Linked DNA regions of Astyanax mexicanus. The protein of the gene in region 2 purifies or fractionates together with the protein of the main gene of each other region. This does not show direct contact. Links are inferred from orthologs where the notes say so. Each region holds a gene or a part of one and is shown on either strand. Other genes may lie near its edges.

Region 1 (7,248 bases), on a different chromosome or scaffold from region 2:
TAGGGAGGAGGAGATTGAGGGAGTGTGTAGTGAGGAAGGGAGTAAGTGAGAGTGTGTAAGAAGGAATGGAGTGAGGGAAGGAGTGGGAGTGTTTAGGCAGCGAGTGAGTGAGTCAGGGCTGCTGGATGTACCTGTGTATACGATCAGGCATATGAGAGTGAAGAGCAGCTCCAGACAGATGATGCACAGCAGGAGATAAACAGAGAGATTCTTCACTTTCTTGTCCAGCAGGGGGGCGGGGCCAATCACCACCAGCAGCGCCGCATTACCTGCGGAGAGAGCGAGAGAGACAGCGAGGGGTAATAAAGGACAAGAAAGGAGAGATAAAGAGAACAGCAGAGAAAAGGGAGGAGTTTAACAGCATTAAACTGAATGGAGCTGAACTGTATTCAACTTAAGTGGAGTTGAACTGGATTAAACTGGATTTGGCTGCACTGTATTTGAAATGAATTGAAATTAAACTGGATTCAACTGAATGTTACTTCACTGTACTAAACTAAACTGAGTGAAAATGAAGTGTATTGGTCAGAATTAGAGCTGTACTGTATTAAACTGAGTGTAAATGAAGTGTATTTTTCAGAATTAGATCTGTACTGTATTAAACTGTGTGTAAATGAAGTGCATTGGTCAGAATTAAAGCTGTACTGTATTAGACTGAGTGTAAATGAAGTGTATTGGTCAGAATTAGAGCTGTACTGTATTAAACTGAGTGTAAATGCAGTGTATTGGTCATAATTAGAGCTGTACTGTATTAAACTGTGTGTAAATGAAGTGCATTGGTCAGAATTAAAGCTGTACTGTATTAGACTGAGTGTAAATGAAGTGTATTGGTCAGAATTAGAGCTGTAGTGTATTAAACTGAGTGTAAATGAAGTGTATTGGTCAGAATTAGAGCTGTGCTGTATTAAACTGAGTGTAAATGCAGTGTATTAAGAGAGTGATGGGAAATGCTGCCTCCTGGAGGATTTCTGGGATCTTGCAGTGTGTGGGTCAGTACCTGCAGAGTGTATGAACAGGGGCAGGCGTTTGAGGTCCTGATTGGCTCTGTAGAACTGCAGGTATCCTCTCCTCCTGGCTGTAGTGTGGTGGTGGTTCACACACCACTCGAACCCGAACACCAGCAGCCACAGCCCCACCTTCCCCAGCAGCACCACGGTCTGAGAGTCCACCCCGTTCAGCACTGCGTTACACTGCTCCGAGTGATCCTCCGCCAACCAGCACAGAACCGCCAGCACCACGCTCACGCTCACATACGCAACCTGAGGACACACACAGTGATCACACACATCATACACACTTACAGATTCAACAACTGGTTACTTATCACAGAATAAATGTCTCATGTTTGAGTATATGTTTGAACAAAATGAACTTTGTTGTTTTATTCCATAAAGTACGCACAACATTTCTCCCAAATTCCAAATAAAAATATTGTCATTTAGAGCATTTATTTGCAGAAACTGAGAAATGGCTGAAATAATTAAATAATGGCTCAAATAATGCAAAGAAAACATGTTCATTTTCATAAAGTTTTAAGAGTTCAGAAATAAATATTTGGTGGAATAACCCTGGTTTTTAAATCACACTTGTGTGTGTGTGTGTGTGTGTGTGTGTGTACTGACGTGTGCTGCAGTCAGTAATCCGGTGATCCAGGCTGTGGGAAGTTTCTGGAACTCTCTCCTGATGGCCGACTCCAGAGCATCCTGAGATATGAGCGGCCCGTCCATCAGCGGGTCATCCTCTATACTCTGAGTATAATCAGTACTGGGGTTACTCTGCACACACACACACACACACATAAGGACAGGAGATCAGTGACAGGAGATCAGTGAGAGTATAAAGTGTGTGGCTGCAGTAGGAAGTGTTTAGATGGAGGCTGTTTGATGTGCCACACTTCAGTCGGAGCTTCTAAAAGAGCTGAGAATGATCATCGTTCAGACTCTTTATTCCCAAAAGTGAGAACTGTCCAGCAGATCAATCCCACAGCTCTGCTACTGCAGCACCTCACCTTTACCTTTACCAACGGCCCCATTGTGACAGAACTGTATCAATCAGCTATAAAAAAGACGGAGAGGCCGTTATGAGCCCTGCTCTCATACACAGGGTATCTGCAGTTATGGGGAAATTTAATTATTACATTTAAGGTTGTTTAATACCAGACAGAGACTAAAAACTAATTAAAACAAATCAAAACCAAAATAAATTTTACAGGCTTTAGAGTACACCTTTTTGACAAAACTAATATAAATGTACAGTTTGGTAAAAACAGAATAGGATCTATTTGTTCCATGTAAACAGGGTCCAGCACAAAACATATTGTTATAACCCTAAATAACCCTGAATAACCTTGGCCCACATTCAATACTGAGGCGTTTTTTCTAAAGGAACCAAGTAGAACCCAATATAACCCAACATAATTTAACATAAACACAACAGAATCCAATAGAACCCAATTTAAAACACAATATAACGCAATAGAACATAGTAACAATATAACCCAAAAACCCAAATATAAACACTATATAACCCAACCGATCCCAAAATAAACACAATACAACAATAATGTAACCCAATATATCCCATTATAAAACAATACAAACACAACATAAATAAGAAAACACAATATAAACACAATTTAGCCAAATAGATCCAAAAAACACAATATATCCCAACAGAACCAAATAATCACAATAGAAGCCAATAAATGCAACAGAATGCAATACATCCGAATAACACAATATAACCCAATATAAACAGAATACAAGCACAATCGAATCCAATATTACCCAATATAAAGACAATATATCCCAATAGATCCCGATATAAACACAATATAACAACAAGAGAACACAATAAAACCCAATAAATCCCAGTATATTCACAATATATCCCAAAAGAACCAAATAAATACAATGAAACCCAAAATAACTCAATATAAACACAATAGATCTAAACACAATATACCTCAATATAAGCACAATAAAAGACAATATAACCCAACAGAACCCAAAATAACCCCAATAGATGACAATATAACACAATGCAACACAATATAACACAACAGAACCCAATGCAAACAATCTAAAACCAGCTAAAATAGCAGAAAATCTTGATTTAACTATATTAATACACGATTCAACAACTGAATAACTCAACAGTCACACTCTATGAAATACAGAGCCAATAAACTGCTTGTTTGTTAAATATATAAGTTATATGCATATAAATGTAAAATAAACTCTGCTTTTATTATTAAACACAATTAAAAAACGCTCCATAAATAAAAATAATAAAAAACACAACAATATAAACAATATAAATACAATTAGTTGTTAGTGCATTATTTACACCAGAATAACCCAAACACACAGGTTTAAATCTCACCTGAGGAGCTGCGGGTCGCTTAGAGCCCATAATAAAGCTGCTGTAGTTTATTAAACTCTCTAAACTCTACTAAATTACAAATAAAATCATATAAACAGTTTATTACTCAACATTTATACACCAGCTTCAAAACACCACACATTCTACTTCCGCTACCAGGGAGCTGCTGACACCCGTCAAATTAAAAGTCTTTTTCGTCTAATTTGTCCTTTAAAATACTACCACTACCACGCCCTTTTTTCTATTCACGTTTATATTTATGGTTTCTTCTATATATATATTCTTATCATACAACAAAACAGCATTAATAATAATATTATTAATATACAATAATAAAAAAATATATTCAAATTCTTAATAGCATATTTAACTGAGAATTTTCAGATCAGATTTTTGGAAAACAGTAAAGGGAAAAAGTCAAGTTAATAAATGTTCATAGCCAAACTCTACTATTTAGAAATAGAAACAATGTACAATGTAACCAGAAATCACAAGGCAATGAAAAAATAAATGTTAAAGAGAAGAGAAGAGAGTTCAGGAGGGGCGAATACAGAAAAGAGTAATTAAAAGTCCGTTTTTAGCTAATTATATTACTATTAAATGACTGATGATGATATTTAAAACATGTTATAAAATAACTAATACAACACTGATGTCACAATATAATTAATGACTATTATTTAGATATATGGCAATACTGGTAATAAATCCCTTATAAACAAAATACTAAGTCGTTCACTCATAGTTGTTTTGCCTTTTGCTTTAAACGTGTGACAGACATATATTATGGGCTGGTTTTAAGCTTCTGAAGGGCGGGTTTTAGACTGACTTTTGGGTTGGATATTTTTGTTGGACCTGGCAACCCTCACTACAGCATGGCGGCGCCCTGTGCGTGGACAGCGTGTAATACGAGCGGGCAGGAGGACGCAGTGATCGGTGATTTAAACCCTCATATCTCTGTTATAAACTCATATATCTCTAATATAAACTTTAACTATAGTTATTACTGCTTTAATCTGCAGCAGGAACGCTCTGTGTTTGAGATAAACAGATTATTATTACTGTTTCTTACCCACGTGCTGCAGCTGTAGCTCCTGTATCGGTTCAGAATCAGCATAAACAATATATTAATTGATTAGACCTTTTTCCCAAGTTTGACCTGCTGTTACTCCAAAGTACTACAATAATATCACTGGAAACTTAAACCATTAATATTATAGAAAAGCATATATGAGACTTTAATGGTATCATTTGATTGCAGTTTGATTGGCTGGTTTTATAGGACTCCAAAATCTGATTTATGCAAAACCCAATAGATATTTTTCTTAAGTTTGATCTCCAATTATTCCAAAATACTACAATAATATCACAGGAAACTTAAACCAATAATAGCATAGAAAAGCGTCCATGAGACTTTAATGGTATCATTTGATAACAGTTTGATTTGCTGGTTTTGTAAGACTCCAAAATCTGGTTTATGCAAAAGAAAATAGATATTTTAGTAGATTTTATTATTAATAGATAAGTTTGACCTTACATTAGTCCAAAACACTACAGTAATAGCAGACAATACTTATACCATTAATAGTATAGAAAAGAATTTAATGGAGTCATTTGATAACAATTTCACTTGATTTTTCAAATTTTTTTCCTAGGTTTGATTAACATGCTTTGCATATTTGTATACATATTTTAAAGGTATTGCAATTATTCTTTCTCCTAATTATAGGATGTTTTTCAGATTTATCATCTTATAATAATGGTTTACATTTAATAATGATTATTTAGCTCATTAGTAATTCAGTGATGATTTAAACTGCTAAACTATTTTTACATTATTTTAAATACAGTTTAATTCCCACTCTGTGTTCTCCTCTCTGTTCTGTGTTTGCAGTGAAGTTCTCTAATGGAGAGGTGAAGAACTCTGAGCAGCTGGACTTCAGACTCTTTAAACATGTGGACGAATCAAACCCGAGGAAGAAGCGCCGCCGGATCATCGTAAATACACAGATTCTACATTTCATTTACAGCACTAAACACACACACACACGCAGCTGTATTAATATATAAATATATATGTACTGTATGTGTGTTTAGGCTGCAGAGTCAGACAGGCTGGCGTACGTTGGGAATAACTTCGGACCCGGATCCTTACAGTGCAACAATCTGTGCAGGTAGGTGGAGTTAAAGGTTAAAACATGTGTTTAAGAGTAAAATTAGAATATTATATAAGACCAATTGGTACTTTTTAAAAGCGTGGCTAGTCCTGCTGGAAAATGAAATCCGCATTTCCATAAATGTTGTCAGCAGAGGGAAGCATGAAGTGATTTTTTTTTTTTAGATGCACTAGTATATGTAATATAATTAGGTAAGTTACTGAATGGACTTTTATTCTGTAGGTATTTTGTGGGAGTGCTGGATAAAAGGACGATGGAGATGAAGGTTCATAATGCTCAACTCTTCAACTTGCTGCCCAGTATACCAGGTACACACCTCTCAAACACCTTACACACACCTGTAGTGTTTAGATGATCTTCACTGGGAGAGAGAGTGTACTGTCTGATGCTTGCTCGACCATTTAAAAGTCTTTAGAGTTTGTTTTTTTTTTAGTGCTGAAATGTTTTTTTTTTTTTTAATCTTATCATTGGCAAATGAATAATTGAAAATGTCATTAAGTATTAGGAAGGAAAAGTATTTGGATTGGAAAAATAACAGGACTGTTTCATTTTCTCAGGAGAAACAGCAGCAGACGCTGATAAAAACGAGACCAAGACCTACAGAGACAAGGTGAGTCTACAATGCAATTCAATTACATTTTTATTATTATTTTTTTTATGTATAGCGCTTTTTACAACAAAAGTTGTTACAAAGCAGCTTTACAGAGGAAAACAGGTCCACGCCTTTAATATGGCCTAAAAATGATCTTTTCCCCAAAAATCCGATTTTCGAATATAATCTATTTTGTTCACCCCCTACTAAAAATGTAAAACAAATGACAAAGAAATGGTTCAAAACTATGTTTACCCTAAAAAAAAAAAAAAAAAAAAAAAATATATATATATATATATATATATAAGTACGAGCTCAGTCCTGTTTAAAAAATATTTTAATATGTTATGTTAAGTCTGTGGGAGGCGCCGGTTATCAGGTAAGATGGAGAACCACTTCAGAAATCAGTAGCGTTTTCAGATATTTTAGATTAAAAAGGGATGGGGGCGTGGCCACCGTGATGGGTAGTCAGGAGGCACCGGGCAGTCACTCCACTGACCCAGTGGGGCTCTAGTCTCTTAATTTGTGACTTTCAATCTTTTAAGGGTCCGTTCTGCCTTAGCCTTCCTCTCACCTGTAGCGACCTGTAGTCACCTGAGGGCTGAGTCTGTATTTCGGTTTTCTGTCGAGTTGTGCTACCTATCGAACAGCGGGCTGCTCAATCAGTCCTGATTCAGACCAGCTGCGACCGGCAGTGGCTGCATGTCATGGCATGGGGTGGACCCAATATGTAAAATCGTGATTTAGATAGAGAAAACAGAAAGAAAAGAAAGAGAAAAAAGTGTGCTAGAGTAAAAGGACAGGGCTGATTCCCTGCAGGCAGGAGGTTTAGAATAGAGATTTAAAGGGGGATTGGTTCCATATAAAGGTTTAGAATAGAGCAGGCTTTACGGTTCTGTAGGTAAAAAGTGTCCCAATATTGGTTGGTTGCAGGTGGACGCTCTGATCGAGGCGTTCGGTACGACGAAGCAGAAGCGAGCTCTGAGCTTGCGGCGGCTGAACGAGGTCGGGAACGAGACGCTGCAGAAGGCGGTGGACCGAGCAGCCGGGAGCGTCATCAACCAGAAAGGACTGGAGGGTAAATTTCACAACTTC
Region 2 (7,565 bases):
CAACTCTGTATATACAGAATCTTCTAGCATTACATTTAGCAATAGTCAAAAAAAATAAAATAAATAAATAAATAAAATCCAGGCACATATTAAATAATATATTTAATAATACAAGTGTAATTTGTAACTTCGTCTGATTGTAGCAAATATCTTTTAAACAAATAAAAGATAAATATGCAATTCAGTGCAACTGCTGTGTATTAGTTTCTCCACAAGGTTATTAGCACTCAGTTAGTTTAGCATGTACCATTAGCAATGAAGTAAGACTCCAAAATCCTCCTGTGAATGCCCACAACAATATGCTGTTTCTCAATAAATAGACACTGTTTTCGACATTAGTTCAGTTACACAAATATACTACATAGAAACTGGTGTTCCCTGAATTTTGTGTTACTTTATTTATTTGATGTTTTTTGCTACTCGAAGCTAGCTTTTTTTTTTGGACATTCCCACACCAGCTAGCCATCTATATGCATGCGATCCTTAAACAGAAGAATTTTAGCATTTGTATGAGGTACAGGGACTTAAAGAAAATCATATTTACAGTTTTCGGAGTGCTGTTTTTTTTCTTCCTTTTTTACATTTTCAGATTTTGTTTCATGTTTATATCTGAATTCTGCTTTTTTGATAGGGCCCTACTAGTAATCTGCTGATATAAATACATAAACATTTGTAGATTGTAGAAATTTAGGTTATTTCTATATTTTTAATTCTGTAATTCTCAAGCAGATATGTACTATGCAAATATCATGCTGCCCTAATGTGTGTGTGTTTGTGTGTGTGTGTATTTCCAGCTGACCTGTCCCAGATCATTCTGAATGTCCAGGTATGGGGTCCAGGTGTGGTTGTGGGAGATGAGCTCCAGCAGGTATTGCACAAATCCCCACTGCTCGTGGATCAGCGCCAGGTGTAGTGCACTGCCAGAACAGGAAAAGGTCAAAAAGGTCAGCAGACATAAAACAGCAGTAGCAGGAAAGACCCAGAAAAGACCCAAAGAGCCCAACTAATGTTCCAGGTGGTCTCTTTCACCCAGCTTAGTACCTAAACCCAGACAGATTGTTTAATAACAGCTGTATTAATTTTTATATGACACTTTTTACACCTCCCAGAATTAAACAGGGCTGGGTTAACCAAAGCATTATGGCACAAAGGCAGTTCTTAAATGTTCATGCAAGCATCACAATGAGAACTTGCTCTACCAATTAAGATAATCTTGACCCTATAGACATTCTCACACTACAGTTTTTTTTTCCTAGGCCTAGAACTGCTTCCTAAGCCAAACTGATATATTAAACACCTATTGAGCTGTGGATGGAACAGTATGTTTGCGAACTATGTATACTGCACCACAATCTTGTTTTATTATTATTCAGATCTATATTTACTTAGGTAATCTAATATTGATTCATATAAACTGGCAGTGTGAATTGATTCAAAATTTTATTCACATTAATCAACAATATTCTGTAATTAATCATGATACTATCCTTGTTTTCTTGTAAGGGGGGACAAAAAGCACACTAATGTCAACAATTGACAAAATAAATGACAAAAGAGGAAAACAGTAGCTGTGCTGTGTTTACCACATTTAAAACTGCTAAAACAAATACACTGCAAGGCTCTGTAAAAAATACTGTATATATCACAATAATGTCTACCACATTACACCTTATACAAAAATGTTATACTATTATATTATCTTTATATCAGAGGCATTTTAAAAAGAAAATAATTTTGTTTATTTCAATTATTTCTGCCACAATATACCTTCTACTTTTTATGTGACAGACCTGGCTGATAACAATAATAATAACAATAATAATAACAATAAACCTTTTTCTTATCAAAGCTTTTTTTAATTTTTAAGTGAAATATCCCTAAATAAATATCGAATCAAATTCGACTTGTGAACCGGAATCGAATCGATTCATATTCAAATCAGTGCTGATACCCAGCCCTAGTATTGGCCTTTTACACCTCTGGTGAAACGTGCCAGGTTGTCCAGTCTGTTATGCAATAGTGGTCTCAACGCACACTTTACATTTAGATTAACAGGTTAAACATTTTATCGTCTTTAACAGCGCTGATTATGAATAATTAAAACATCGTGATCTAACTTAGCTTATAGAAAAGTTTCTTACGTGTCTCCGTCCTCCGACACAAAGCTCAGAGTCCTCCAGAGCTCCTCTTTCCTCTGCTCTTCCTCCCGGGCTCTCTCTTCTCCGTCCCCGGCTCCCGCTGCCTTCTCCTCGGCTTCCCCCGCGAGCAGCACGGTCCTGATCCCGGCCGACAGGCTCTCCACCGCCGCCGCCTCGTCTGTGATGGAGTCCCCGATAGCGGAGTCCAGCCTCTCCCCTCCTCCGCCGCCCAGAGACACGCACTCCCCGCTCTGACTCTCTCCCGCTCCGCCGCAGTCCGCCGGGAACCCGCGGGGCCACGGCAGCTCCAGCACGGGCTCGTTCTCGGCGTCGAGGAAGGAGTCGAGCCCGCTGTCGCACCAGTCCTCAGGGGGGATCTCCGAGCGCCCCTTCCCGGCCCCGGGCTGCCCGTCCTGCTCCCCATAGCCGCCGCTCTGGAGGTCTTGGGAGAACCGTTGGTGCGCCCACTCCATTTATAATCATTTAGCTGGCTATAGCTCCGAGAAAATCAAGCCTCTGTCGTTAATGCCAGCCACTTTCTCCTCCGGATCAAAAACCAAACAAACTACCCGCTGGTTTTAGCTAACGTTACTGTTTACAGAGAGCTCGCCCGCTGTTAGCCACCTAGCGCTAACAAGCTAACCAGCTAACGGGCTAATCGGCTAGCCCGAGTTTAGCTCAGCTCTGGCCGTTTGTTTTCAGGGCCGTTTTTCGTCTGGGATCAAATTCCGCCACAACAACAGCGCCAGGCGCCTCCGCGGCGTGATTCAGCCCCGTTTCCATGTCTCTGTCCGCTCCATATTAAACCCTTCACTCAGCCGTGCGAGCAGCACACCCGCGGCTCCACAGCGGCCAAGTTTCCAGAAAAAGCCTCTCGCCTTTCGCTGGCTGAGTAGGTGATTTCCCGGGGAATTCCCAGCCCGGACCGGTTCGATTGGGGATTTTGTTACACAGGCGTCTCAAATTGCTCCCAGCTCCCTACACCCTACTGCCTATGTAGCACACTTCTGTTCCAATAGGTCACACCACTAGTTACGGTCAGTGTAACGTTTATTAATTGAACTTTCTGACCGTTATAGGCTAAATACAAAGATAGAAAATTGGATGTAAAAACTAAATTAATAACATTTTAAAATGTAGTGCAGTGTACAAGAAATACGTTTTTATCCATGTTTCCAATTTTATTTCTTTTTTTTATCTCAGGAAAATAAAAAAATGGATATTTTCTTTATTTTCTGATTTGTCAATTTTTGCATTTTGCAAGTTGGATTAAACCATCAGATTTGTGTTACAAGACACAAAAATGGACAAATCCAAAAGTCGAGAGAAGATTCATCGTTTTAATTTTCGTGGATGTTTGTTTGTGAAAGGCTGAAATAAAAAAAAGATAAGTGAAAATCTATTTCATCTTCACTATACTGAATGTAAAAAAAATATTAAGTTTTATACCCAATTTTCTATTTTCGAATGTAGCCTGATACAGTCAGAAAATGAAACTGCTAAACGTTACACTGACCAGTTCAACACATTTCATTAAAATTTTATTCAAATTTAATTGGCCCATGCATTAGTTACAGTACTTATAAACACAGTGATCTGTAGTTTTTATAAACATGGTCAGGATTTTGAGTGCAGCATTTTAAACATGTAGAGAAAAACAGCAAGTCATGATTTATTTGAACACTGGTATTTTTGTTATTGCATATTATTGTAATTGTGTGCAATTGTTTAAAAGTTTAGATATTAAACATGTTAGTCAGCATTACTGCATAATGCAATACTCACCACAGATAACAAAAATACTTTTAAACTCTATGTCTGTCTATAAATCTGTCTATCTATTGTTATGTCATTCTATTGTTCCTTCTTTCGTTCTATGGTTCTAATGCTTTGTTGGTAGTTTGTGGGTGTGTTTGTGACATATCTTGTTATAGAACCACAAAAAGTAAGGTAAGACCAGTTTTGTAAATGCAAATAAGAGGAAACACACACAGTTGTTTTAACATCTACTTTGACTTTTTAGACTGCAGACATGTATTGTCTTCACTTCATTTCATTTGTTATTATATATCCATTCCTGCATTTCAGGCCTGTAACCCATTCCAAAAAAAAACAAAAAACAAAGGCAATGTACAAACTACATTTTTAAACATGTTAAAACAGTGTTGTTTACTTCTCACATAAACCAAGCAAATGTGCAATTCTGAGGTATCACCTAAAGAATTACTTCTGCACTTCTGCACTTAGGCTTATATGTGTGATCCCAATCCCATATTGGTAAATGGAAATCCAACACCCAGAAGAGAAGAGTATTTTTGCAGTGTTTATTTAAGGGACTTTTTTTTTTTTTGGTAATCCCCTGCAGGCCACACTGGACTATCAGGCTATAGTCTTGAATGAGCGCACCCTCATTTTCGCAACATCATTGGTCACTGACTCTTTTTGGTTGAAACATCAGATCTATATATATATATATATATATATATATATATATATATATATATATATATATATATATATATATATATATATACAAAATGAGTAGTATTATATGCTTGTTTAGAGTGTATAACAAAAAAAGAGGAGATTGTTGCATGAACAGCAGTTTTATGAATACACCACAAAGAGTGTTGTGAGGCACCATTTAACTTATATCCTCTGCCATTTAGAGAAGAGGAGCTGCTGCAGTAGTTGAAGATGCTTCATTTAAAACATCCACCATTCATCTTCTTTTAGTACTTTGTGGCGGGGAAAACAGCACCACAGTTTCCATATCCAAAGAAATCCACAGAAAGCTGCTGTACCTCATCTTCCACTAGATGGAGCTCAGGAGCTGGAGAACAGCTGCAGCCACTCATTTGTTAGCAGTTAGTCAGGGATACAGGCTAGCACAGCTTTGCTTGGCCAGTAAAGAGTAACGTACCTCATGCAGTAATGAGAACCAAGATTTTAATCTCTCTAACTGGATAATATCACTCCAGAGTGCATCTTTCAGCCCATAAAGTGAGTAGCAGAGCACATAAACACCACTAACCACAAGTACAGCAGCAGAAGCTAGGTTAAAGGAAACACCTTCAAAATAACCTTAGTGCTCTATAGTTTCAAATTTGAGTTCCACAGTACAGTTCTGGATTAATAGATTCTCTCAGCTGGAGCTAAACCAGAGTGTTAGTTTATTGCTGTTATTATTAAAATAATATAATAATATAAATAATATATAAAAAATTAAAATATAGGCTAATTTGAGCCAAAAAATTGTCAGGAAAAAAGGCAATGAGATGGCGGATGTTAGGAAAGGCCCCCTACCTGCAATATTTACATGTATATTTCTCCTGAAACCCATTTATTTACAGTAAGCTTCAAGGTGGCCAACATTATGTGGCATCTAGCTCCGTCGATACCAGTGATTGGCTAATTGAGCTAAGTGGTGAACGGCCCCATCATGTGTTTGCGAGGCTCCTGGGGTTAGCTCTTAGGCTAACATCTTCCCTGACACACAAGCACCGCATTAGTAGTGGTACTGTACTTAAGTACTAAAACACTGTATCTGCATTTACTGAAGTAATATGTTTTTTAAAGAGTTTTAATTCTCTTACTCTGATCATTTTTTATTGTGCTGCATCGTTATTCGTTACAATTATAAAAATGTTACGAATCAATCCAAACAGGCATTATCACTAAAGCAAGAGGGTTATATGCTCTGCAGTGTCACAGGGTTTGATAAAGCTGCTCAACATTAAAAGAATCATTGAGAGATTCAAGTGATTAAGCTGATTTTATAAGAAGACAGCGCTGCTCCTGTTTTGCCTTTTACTCTGCTGCCAGCCTGCATTGAGAACACTTGAGCTTTATTAGTTTGTTTTGAGATGAAAGAACCGGAAACACCACCTCTAGCACCTTCAACTTTCGAATAATAGTGGTGAGGGTAAGAAAGGAGACCACCCCTGGCCCTGCTTAGAGTTCATGTTTTTATTTGTGGGAGTGGGGAAGAGAAGAGAGACATGTTTTAAAGGGGAAAAGGAGAAAATTTATCTTTTTTATATATAAAGGGTTAAGCTCAGTGTTTTAAGATACTCTAATCACTTGTTTTTACGTATTTAACACTTGTATGTGGCATTTGCCTTCTTTAGTGGATTTTACAATAGTTATAAAATATACTAATGTCTTGCTGTCAATTTTCTTTAGCATTTCTTTTGGAAGAGTTTGTTTAGAGAGTTAATTGGAGATGTCATGTGCTTGTATTCTATCTTGTACAGTCCTGTGTTTGTACTGCTGCTACAGCAAAATGTTTTGTGAGTTTTCTTTAGCCTAAACATTTGATGATAAACAATATAAACATTTTTTTTACTGCTTTCTGTAATAACTACACAATAATGACACAGTACTTGTACTTTTATTTTCAGTATTTGAGTAGTACATTTTAAATTAAAGTACTTAAGTAGAAAATTGTTGAATACTTTTGTAGATCAATTTGAACTGTACTGGCAGTTGGGAGTTTTGTTTTTCAGTGTTAACCTACTCCGCACACAGCATGTTGATATATAGGTATATTTTGCACCACCAGATGGCAGAACACACACATGTGAAAGTCTCCATCCTTTTCAAACAAAGGAACATCCTTTCTGAGCATACCCTGATGATGTCATACTCATGGGGATCAGCTCTTCTTCAGGAATATCAGCATCAGGGTATAGCTTATGTTTTGGATGCAGTGCGACACTTTCCTCTTGAATGATGAAAAAAAACAGTTTTCCAACTGTATTGAGCAGATATGCTGGATCATCAGCCTTTCCAGAGATGATTTCCAGTGTGATTTAAGAGCTGGATATTGTGCTTAAAGTGACCATGGTGGTGACCATGAAGGGGGCTGAATCAGGCATGGGAAAATGATTAGTTGGTGGTTTTGTTGATAATGCTGCTGTATAAAATCAATAATAACCATGCGATTTTAGGACAAATGGAAAATGATAAAAAAATATATATATATAGGAAAAATACAGTAACAAACGTTTTCTTCACCTATTTGGTAAAGAAAAAACTAAAAATTAAATAAAAAGAAAAAAAAAAACAATATAACAATGTTCTTTTGGTGATATTTCTAATTTTATTTGTCCAAAAGGTGATCATGACAGGATCTGACATGCCCAGATGGCTCACCTTGACACCATTCCTGGATATCTGTGTCATACATTCTGAAGAATTTAAGATGCTACAAAGATTTTTGAAACAATGCTCTGATAAAACCTTATGATAAAAAGCTGTGAGTGTGAAGAGACCTTTAATTGGTGAATAATCTATCAAATCAAACTAAATTAAAATGAGGGAAAAACAACATACATAGAAATAGAAATAGAAAAACATGCCTCAGTTCCACTGTGTCACAGAGGTGGCATCTATAATTATATTTTTGTCCACTTTACAAAAATG
Region 3 (7,203 bases), on a different chromosome or scaffold from region 2:
TTTTTTTTTACAACAGCTACAGCCCAACACATAAGATAAGAGCTTAAAACCAAATGTTTTCAATCAACCAATCATCCAATTAACTGAACTCAGGTATTCCAATCACTTGCATGGCCACAGGTGTGAATAAAAAAAAATAATGAAAGAATGGGTTGCTCTCAGAAGCTCAGTGAACGCACTGTGGTACCGTGTGATAGGATGCAGCACCTGTGCAACAACAAGTCCAGTCGTGAAATTTTACTACTAAACTCACTACTAAATATTCCAAAGCCAACTGTCAGTGATATTTTAATAAAGTGGAAGAGACTGGGAATGACAGCGACTCGAGTCCATCACTACAGACCTTTAAACGTCATGTAGCTTCAGATCAGATCAAGAACAATAGACCGTAGAAAGACTCATGGAATGGAGAGTTCAAATGTCAGAGCATTAATATGAGATATTTTAGGCAGCAAGTAAACAATCAACCCCTAAAACTGACTGTGAGAAGACTTTCAGAAGATCCAGGCTAGGGTTGCACGATATTAGAGAGAAAAAACTGACATTGTAATATTTTGCTTATCTGCAATTCATACTGGCATGTTCTCCTCCACCAGTCTTACACACTGCTTTTGGATAACTTTATGCTGCTTTACTCCTGGTGTGAACATTTAAGCAGTTCAGTTTGGTGGTTTGATGGTTTGTGTTCATCCATCTTCCTCTTGATTATATTCCAGAGGTTTTCAATTTGGTAAAATCAAAGAAAGTTTAAGTGGTCTCTTATTTGTTTTCCAGAGCTGTATATTGTTTGTATTAACCTTTACTTACATTACATATGTATATATCGTGTTTGTATTGTTGTTGTTTTGTAGAAAGGGACATTTAAATGTACTAATTATAAATGTGCATTAATATTAATTATATATTATGGAAGAACTTTTAAATGAAAGATTAAAGGTTGCTTTTCCATCATACAGTCAAAAATTGAAGGTTTATTCAACTTTCTTGCTATCAGTGTTGTTTGAGGCTTCATACTAACTTATATAGTATAGAGTAAAATAAAATAAGCCGTATAGAACTTACAGCTGAAAATAATAATAAAAACCTAAAAAAGGTTAAAGCTAAGCTCTGACAGGGAGTAGAAATAACAGCTAGCTAATTTACAGTGAGTGCACTTTCACAGCCCTGTAATTATATTTAAAATAATCTTTCTCTTTATTGAACATTATTTAACCAATATATATATATATATATATATATATATATATATATATATATATATATATATATATATATATATATATATATATATATCATATTATATTTTTATTCAGTCTGTTAACTAAAGCTGAAGCGGCTGAGCTGTAAAAACACGGTCAAAGCCTCGAATTAATGAGCTAATGTTAGTTAGCATGCTAAGCTAAGCTAGGCTAAACCTAAGCTAAGCTAAAGCCCTCAGTCTGTGTGTGGAAATGGGAAGTAGCAGAGCGAAGTTCAGCTAAATCAGCTAAATCCAACTTCATTTTCTGAGATTGTGGTCGGATTTCGCCGCAACTTTAACCCGCTGTCGTGTAGGAAACTTATATTAAGTTTATACGGTTTAAAAGTGCTAAATTAAGTGTTTTAACAGCACTGGGACTCGGAGTTAACAAGCCAACAAGTCGGCAAGTCAACAAAATACCCAGACTCTCAGTTTGAGTCAGTTTCAGTCAGTTTAAGATGCTGAGCAGCCTCTGATATTTCATATTCTTAATTAATATACTGGGATTTTATTGAGAAATGAAATGACTAACACATACGAGTGTAAACTTGTGGTTTTATTTGTTTAAACACATCAATAACAAGACCATGTTCTTCAGTTCAGCTTCGTCTGATAGTGCTGAGAGTGGGCTGCGTCCCAAATCCCACCACTACCTAACCTATAGTAGTGCTGCACTATTGACTAGTGCCTTATAACACTTTAAAACTGTGGGCTGTATCCCGATCCCACCACTAGACGCTTTGGACGCAGCCCAAAGCTAAAAGCCATCCAAAATTTGATTTATTACAGTGACATTTGTAAGACTTAAGACTTTAAAACAGTGGGCTGTATCCCGAATATCACCACTAGCTAACTAGATAGCTCCACTAGCTAACGGTGTTGAATTAACTTGCTTTGATATACTCTGCAAACTACTGGTATAGTTATCTAGCTAGGTGTGTAAGAGTGCTTATTTGAACGCAGCCGAATGATACCTACCTACAAAGACATCCAAATAAAACAAAAGCAGATTAATCTTAGGGACATTTATTTAAAATATCTCAAAATCAACCACTAGCCAGCTATACTACTACTCATGCTCCATTGACTGTATAGTCTGCAAACTTAAGTTAGCTAACTAGCTAAGTAACTAGTGAGGTAGAGTACTTATTTGGACACAGCCCAAAACTACCTACAAAGTCATCCAAATGAAACAAAAGCGGATTTATTATTATAGGGAAATCTTAAGACTTAATGATTTGAAAGTGTTATAGAGCGCATAATGTGGGTTAATTCCCCACTATTAATATATTAAAACGTATCTCAGATTAGATAGATTAGTAATATCTTAAAAGTAATATTTTTAATGAATGTTGTGAATGGTTAGAGTTAATAACTATACTATGAGCAGTTAGGTAGTTAGGCAATAGTTGGTGTTCTATATAAGGATATATATATGTAGAGCAGATATAAGTGTCAGTGTTTATATGACATAAACAGCAGTAAAACAGCAGTAAAGTGTGTGTAGACTGTAGAGTGCAGTGTGTGGAGCTCAGTCCGCTACCTGTGCTGGTGTGTCTGGCCGCTCCACATGTGCTGTCAGTCCGCAGAGAGAGCTCAGGCAGGCGGGTAAGGAGCCATGCAGCCCCGCGGGTGGCGCAGAGCTCCGGCCGGGCGGGCGTTCGGCTGGGTGCGGAGGAGAGGCTCGGGCGCAGTGCGGGTGAATTATCCGGCGGATCGGAGGCGATATCGAGTTAATGGTCGCCGCTCGAGCGCGGATCGATCTGTTTGTAAAGAAAAGTTCACTTCCTTACTGGAAATTCCCTGTGACGTAACGCAACTTCTCCTCCAGCAAAGCCGGCCGCTGCGGGGGCGACACCTGCTGGTCAAACCCGGTAATTACCGTCTTATTGAATTGTGTAATAATACAGTGTGTACAAACACTGCTATAAAAATATTGTCATTTAAAGCATTTGATTTATTTGCAGAAAATGTAAAATGTTATAATAATGGACATCAGGTATTTTCTTTATTTTTAAATATTTTGTTGCACTTCACACTATTTGAGAGATGTTATTCATCAGAATAGACCATAAAACACCCAATCAACAAGTTTATAAATCAATGAAAGAGTAACTACGGCCTATTTACTGCAAAAACACTGGAAAAACTGAAGTACTAGAGCCATTATGGCAAAGTAACAGCAAATTTCTACTAATTTTAATGTGATTTATAACACTTTTTAATCATGTTTTTTCATGTTTAGGGATGCTTTATGAAATAAAAAGAGCAATATAAAAATATAAAATATCACACACAGGCTTCCAATGCAGGGAAACAAAAAAATTGGATTAATTTGCTATATAGATTTTATAGTAGAATATTAGAGTCAGAAAACAGCATTCTTATTAAGCCATGGGAACGGGATCCTAATGCTTGGGAACGAGATAAATAAGGCATGTGAATGAGATCATGGCCATGACTGATTATGGTGTGGGATTGAGATAATTAATTCATAGCCAGAAAATAATAAAACTTGCTGTTCTATAAATGAATGCACATAAAGAAACTGAATATTTTTATAAATAAATACAATTATAAATAAATACCCAAATAATTATTATTTTTTTAATATTGCAATCCCACACAAAGTATTACAAGACTACTTAAAGTTAATGCATGCAGTAAAGACGACACCACTCTTAAATCAGTACTTTTACCAACTTTATTGAGAAAACAAATGAACAGCTAGTGGAGCTATTAGTTGACCGGTCATCCGTCAGGAGCGTCCAATCATAAATTCAGTGCAACAAGCCAACAGTGTGGAGGAGGAAGGCAGATGAACTAATAGCTCCTCGTTCTATAAACGACAGGGGGAAGAAATGAAACAGCCAGGAAAACGGAGTAACAAAATAAAAGTTCTCAAGTGGACACGTGTGTTTAACACTGTTTTCTCAGCAGACGGCTGACCCATTCACGGTTATTATCCTAACGACATGCATAAAATAGATCTTATATTCTTCAGAACTGCTGATGGAACCATGGGGCCGGTTCTGCCCGTGGCGAGTCAGTCAGAAGCAGGAGGAGTATAGTTCACAGACTGGATCATTGCTATTGTAAAAGCATTTTTTCATATATAAAAAAGTGAAGGCCAACCCAGTGACAGATTGTTCACAAAAGGACCATTATTTAATCTATTCATTTATTTATTTATTCATTATATATTTATACATATAGATTTTTTTTATCGTTATAGCACCTCCAGTATGTGGCGTGAGATAAAAGCGCTTGATACTCTTATTTATTTGCTTTATGTCTTTGTTTTATTACACCTGGTTACAGAGTGGGCGGGGTCCTCGACGATACACATGCTTCGTAGTTCAGACCCGAGAGCGTTTTACAAAAGATGGACAGAGCGTGATCTCGCCGTGACGTCCTCTCGCTCGCAGCGCAGGACACTTTAACAGGGACAGAAAACAACTAAACAAAATCACTGGTTTGGTTGGAGATGAGGTGGGGGTGGTGGAGGCTGGTGGGGGTGGAGGGGAAGTGCCAGATCGTTGAGAAGGTGGGAGAAGGGGGCTATAATGCAGATCTGTTGGGGTGAGATTCCGTCAGGTATCACATGGCGTATTTCTGAGTCCATTCCCGAGCTATTCTGTTATACCTGAGAGAGAGAGAGAGAGAGAGAGAGAGGGAGGGAGAGAGAGAGAGAGAGAGAGAGAGGGAGAGAGAGAGAGAGAGAGAGAGACTGCATTAAACCACTGTAAATATATTCCTAAATAAACTTTATGTAAATGTTTTAATTGCTGTTTTTCATAAAGTTATTCACTCATTAGCTTTTGTCATGACTTATCATCATTAGTCACTCTATTATTTGCATTGGCAACTTGTTGACAGCTGTTATTTACAATTCATGCTGATAAAACTACTTGAATTCCAACATTCGAGAGAGAGAGAGAAAGAGAATACCAACAGATACATAACTAAAACTATTTGAATTCAAGAGATAGATAGATAGAGAGAATACCAACAAACTAAACTACTAAACTATCTGAATTCATGAGAGAAAGAATATCAAGAGAAAGATAACAAAAACTACTTGAATTCAAGAAAGAAAGATTCAAGAAAGAGAGAAAGAATGCGAGAGAGACAGAGGAAAAAATACCAATAGAAACATACATAAAACTACATGAATTCAAGAAAGAGAGATAGAGAAAGAGAGAAACACCAATTGAATTCAAGAGACAGAGATATAAAGAAAGAGAGAGAGATAAATACCAATAAAAAAACTAAACCTATAATTCTAATAAACTTTAATTCAAGAGAGAAAGATGATGAAGAAGAGAGAAAGAGAGAGAGAGAGAGAGAGAGAGAGAGAGAGGAGATAGACCCACTGAACAATAAGTAGACAGACAGACAGATTACTTATGTGTTCTTTCATAGTCTGATAGATCACTTCACTATTCATTTACTATGTAGGAACAAAAACGCCTGTATATGGAGAGGAACAAGCAAGTAAGAGAGGAAGTAAAAGAGAGAAAGAGAAAGAGAGAGAGAGAGATTGATTAACAGTGGTGCTGAGGAGTGCTAATGTAACGATAGTGTCGCATGCTGGGCAAGCGAGCACTGCTCTGCCAACTGTGCCCATGCCAACACACACACACACACACACACACACACACACACACACACACACACACACACACACACACACACACACACACACACACACACACACACACACACACACACAAAAACAGCAAGGTCAAAGCTGAAAGCATTCTGCCTCTGTTTTACACACCGTCCTCATCTCTCCTAATGCTGAACACCATCTGCATAACACGCTTACACACACCAGCACTTCCCACAATGCCCGGCCTTACCCCTACAGTGTGGCATACTTCTCTGTCCACTCTCTGGCCAGTCTATTATACCTGAGGGAGGGAAAGCGGCCCAGCTCATCAGTGAGACCCCCACTGAGATCAGGGCAGGGCTGGAACACTATATCGATATTGTGATATATTGCATTGTTTCGATTGTATCGTATCGTACCGTATCAACAAGTGGCGTCTTGCATGCATATTTTATTAAAACAGGCGCATTAAAGTCCCCAAATCTCGCCCACCGATTAGACTTACTAAAGTTACTGCTTTATTACTCCACATGGTGGCGCTATAATCAAATGAATAGGGTCATTAAACCTGTGGTGAAGAAAATTGGTTGTTAAATTCTGTGAAACTGACGCAAATAAATCCGTAATTCCTGGTATTTGCTTATTTAAGAGTGTTTTATCCTCTTCAGTAATACATATGCCTTGTAACACATTGAGTATCACAGTATTATAAAAATATCACAATTCACTGAACATGATAACGATATAAGGATATCGTTTTGTAAAATGCCGCTTTTAAATCTGTTTGTTTTCCGATTATCCAATTCATATGAACACGTCAATTATTGAATAAAGCAGATTACTGACTAACTCTGTTCTGTAAATGCATTCAATATTGATTATTCTCACTTAAAAAAACACAATATATGATACGATACTTACTTTTCATTGTCTGTTTTATATATGCGAGCTATCTCTGGCACTAGCGGGTCGTCTGGGTTGGGGTCACATAACAGAGAGCAGATGGACAAGAGAACTGCAGGAAGAATCAAACACCATCATTATTCACAGCAACCACCAAAACACTTTAAAACACAGTCCTCCTCATGTACTGTTTTACTGTTCAGTGTGAAGGGGCTTACCTTTAGAAATAGTTAATGCTGGTGACCACTGCGATCTTAGAATATCCAAACAGATGCTGCCATTACTGTTAATATTTGGGTGATAAATTCTTGTGGTGAAAGCAACCTGCAGAGAAGAGGGAGAGAATGACAGATTACTGATACAAACTGAATTAAGTGTTATACATCCACACAAAATCAAATGCAAAAGAAATGCAAATGAAAAATACTCTAATGATTTTAAAGTA

Evidence for each region.
Region 1: the proteins of nfkbib (region 2) and polr1e purify together in Homo sapiens (affinity purification with mass spectrometry; 3 studies listed by BioGRID and IntAct, counting the BioPlex papers as one, with this or other methods). This does not show direct contact. The link is inferred for Astyanax mexicanus from reciprocal best matches to the Homo sapiens genes NFKBIB and POLR1E.
Region 3: the proteins of nfkbib (region 2) and nfkb1 purify together in Homo sapiens (affinity purification with mass spectrometry; 7 studies listed by BioGRID and IntAct, counting the BioPlex papers as one, with this or other methods). This does not show direct contact. The link is inferred for Astyanax mexicanus from reciprocal best matches to the Homo sapiens genes NFKBIB and NFKB1.

What each region holds. Positions count from the first base shown.
Region 1 is NC_064432.1:23,894,321-23,901,568, reverse strand, and holds the start of polr1e (DNA-directed RNA polymerase I subunit RPA49), read left to right. Parts: upstream 1-4,211; 5' UTR 4,212-4,259; coding exon 4,260-4,320; intron 4,321-5,278; coding exon 5,279-5,382; intron 5,383-5,481; coding exon 5,482-5,558; intron 5,559-5,783; coding exon 5,784-5,869; intron 5,870-6,118; coding exon 6,119-6,171; intron 6,172-7,086; coding exon 7,087-7,231; intron 7,232-7,248. Other genes in the region: tmem192 (transmembrane protein 192), read right to left, coding at 132-269, 998-1,259, 1,623-1,775, 3,385-3,414. UniProt on the Homo sapiens protein: Component of RNA polymerase I (Pol I), a DNA-dependent RNA polymerase which synthesizes ribosomal RNA precursors using the four ribonucleoside triphosphates as substrates.
Region 2 is NC_064408.1:33,211,167-33,218,731, forward strand, and holds the start of nfkbib (NF-kappa-B inhibitor beta), read right to left. Parts: upstream 3,098-7,565; 5' UTR 2,612-3,097; coding exon 2,142-2,611; intron 918-2,141; coding exon 800-917; intron 1-799. UniProt on the Homo sapiens protein: Inhibits NF-kappa-B by complexing with and trapping it in the cytoplasm.
Region 3 is NC_064426.1:2,198,954-2,206,156, reverse strand, and holds the start of nfkb1 (nuclear factor NF-kappa-B p105 subunit), read right to left. Parts: upstream 3,055-7,203; 5' UTR 2,784-3,054; intron 1-2,783. Other genes in the region: ube2d2l (ubiquitin-conjugating enzyme E2D 2 (UBC4/5 homolog, yeast), like), read right to left, coding at 6,108-6,156, 6,777-6,870, 6,977-7,082.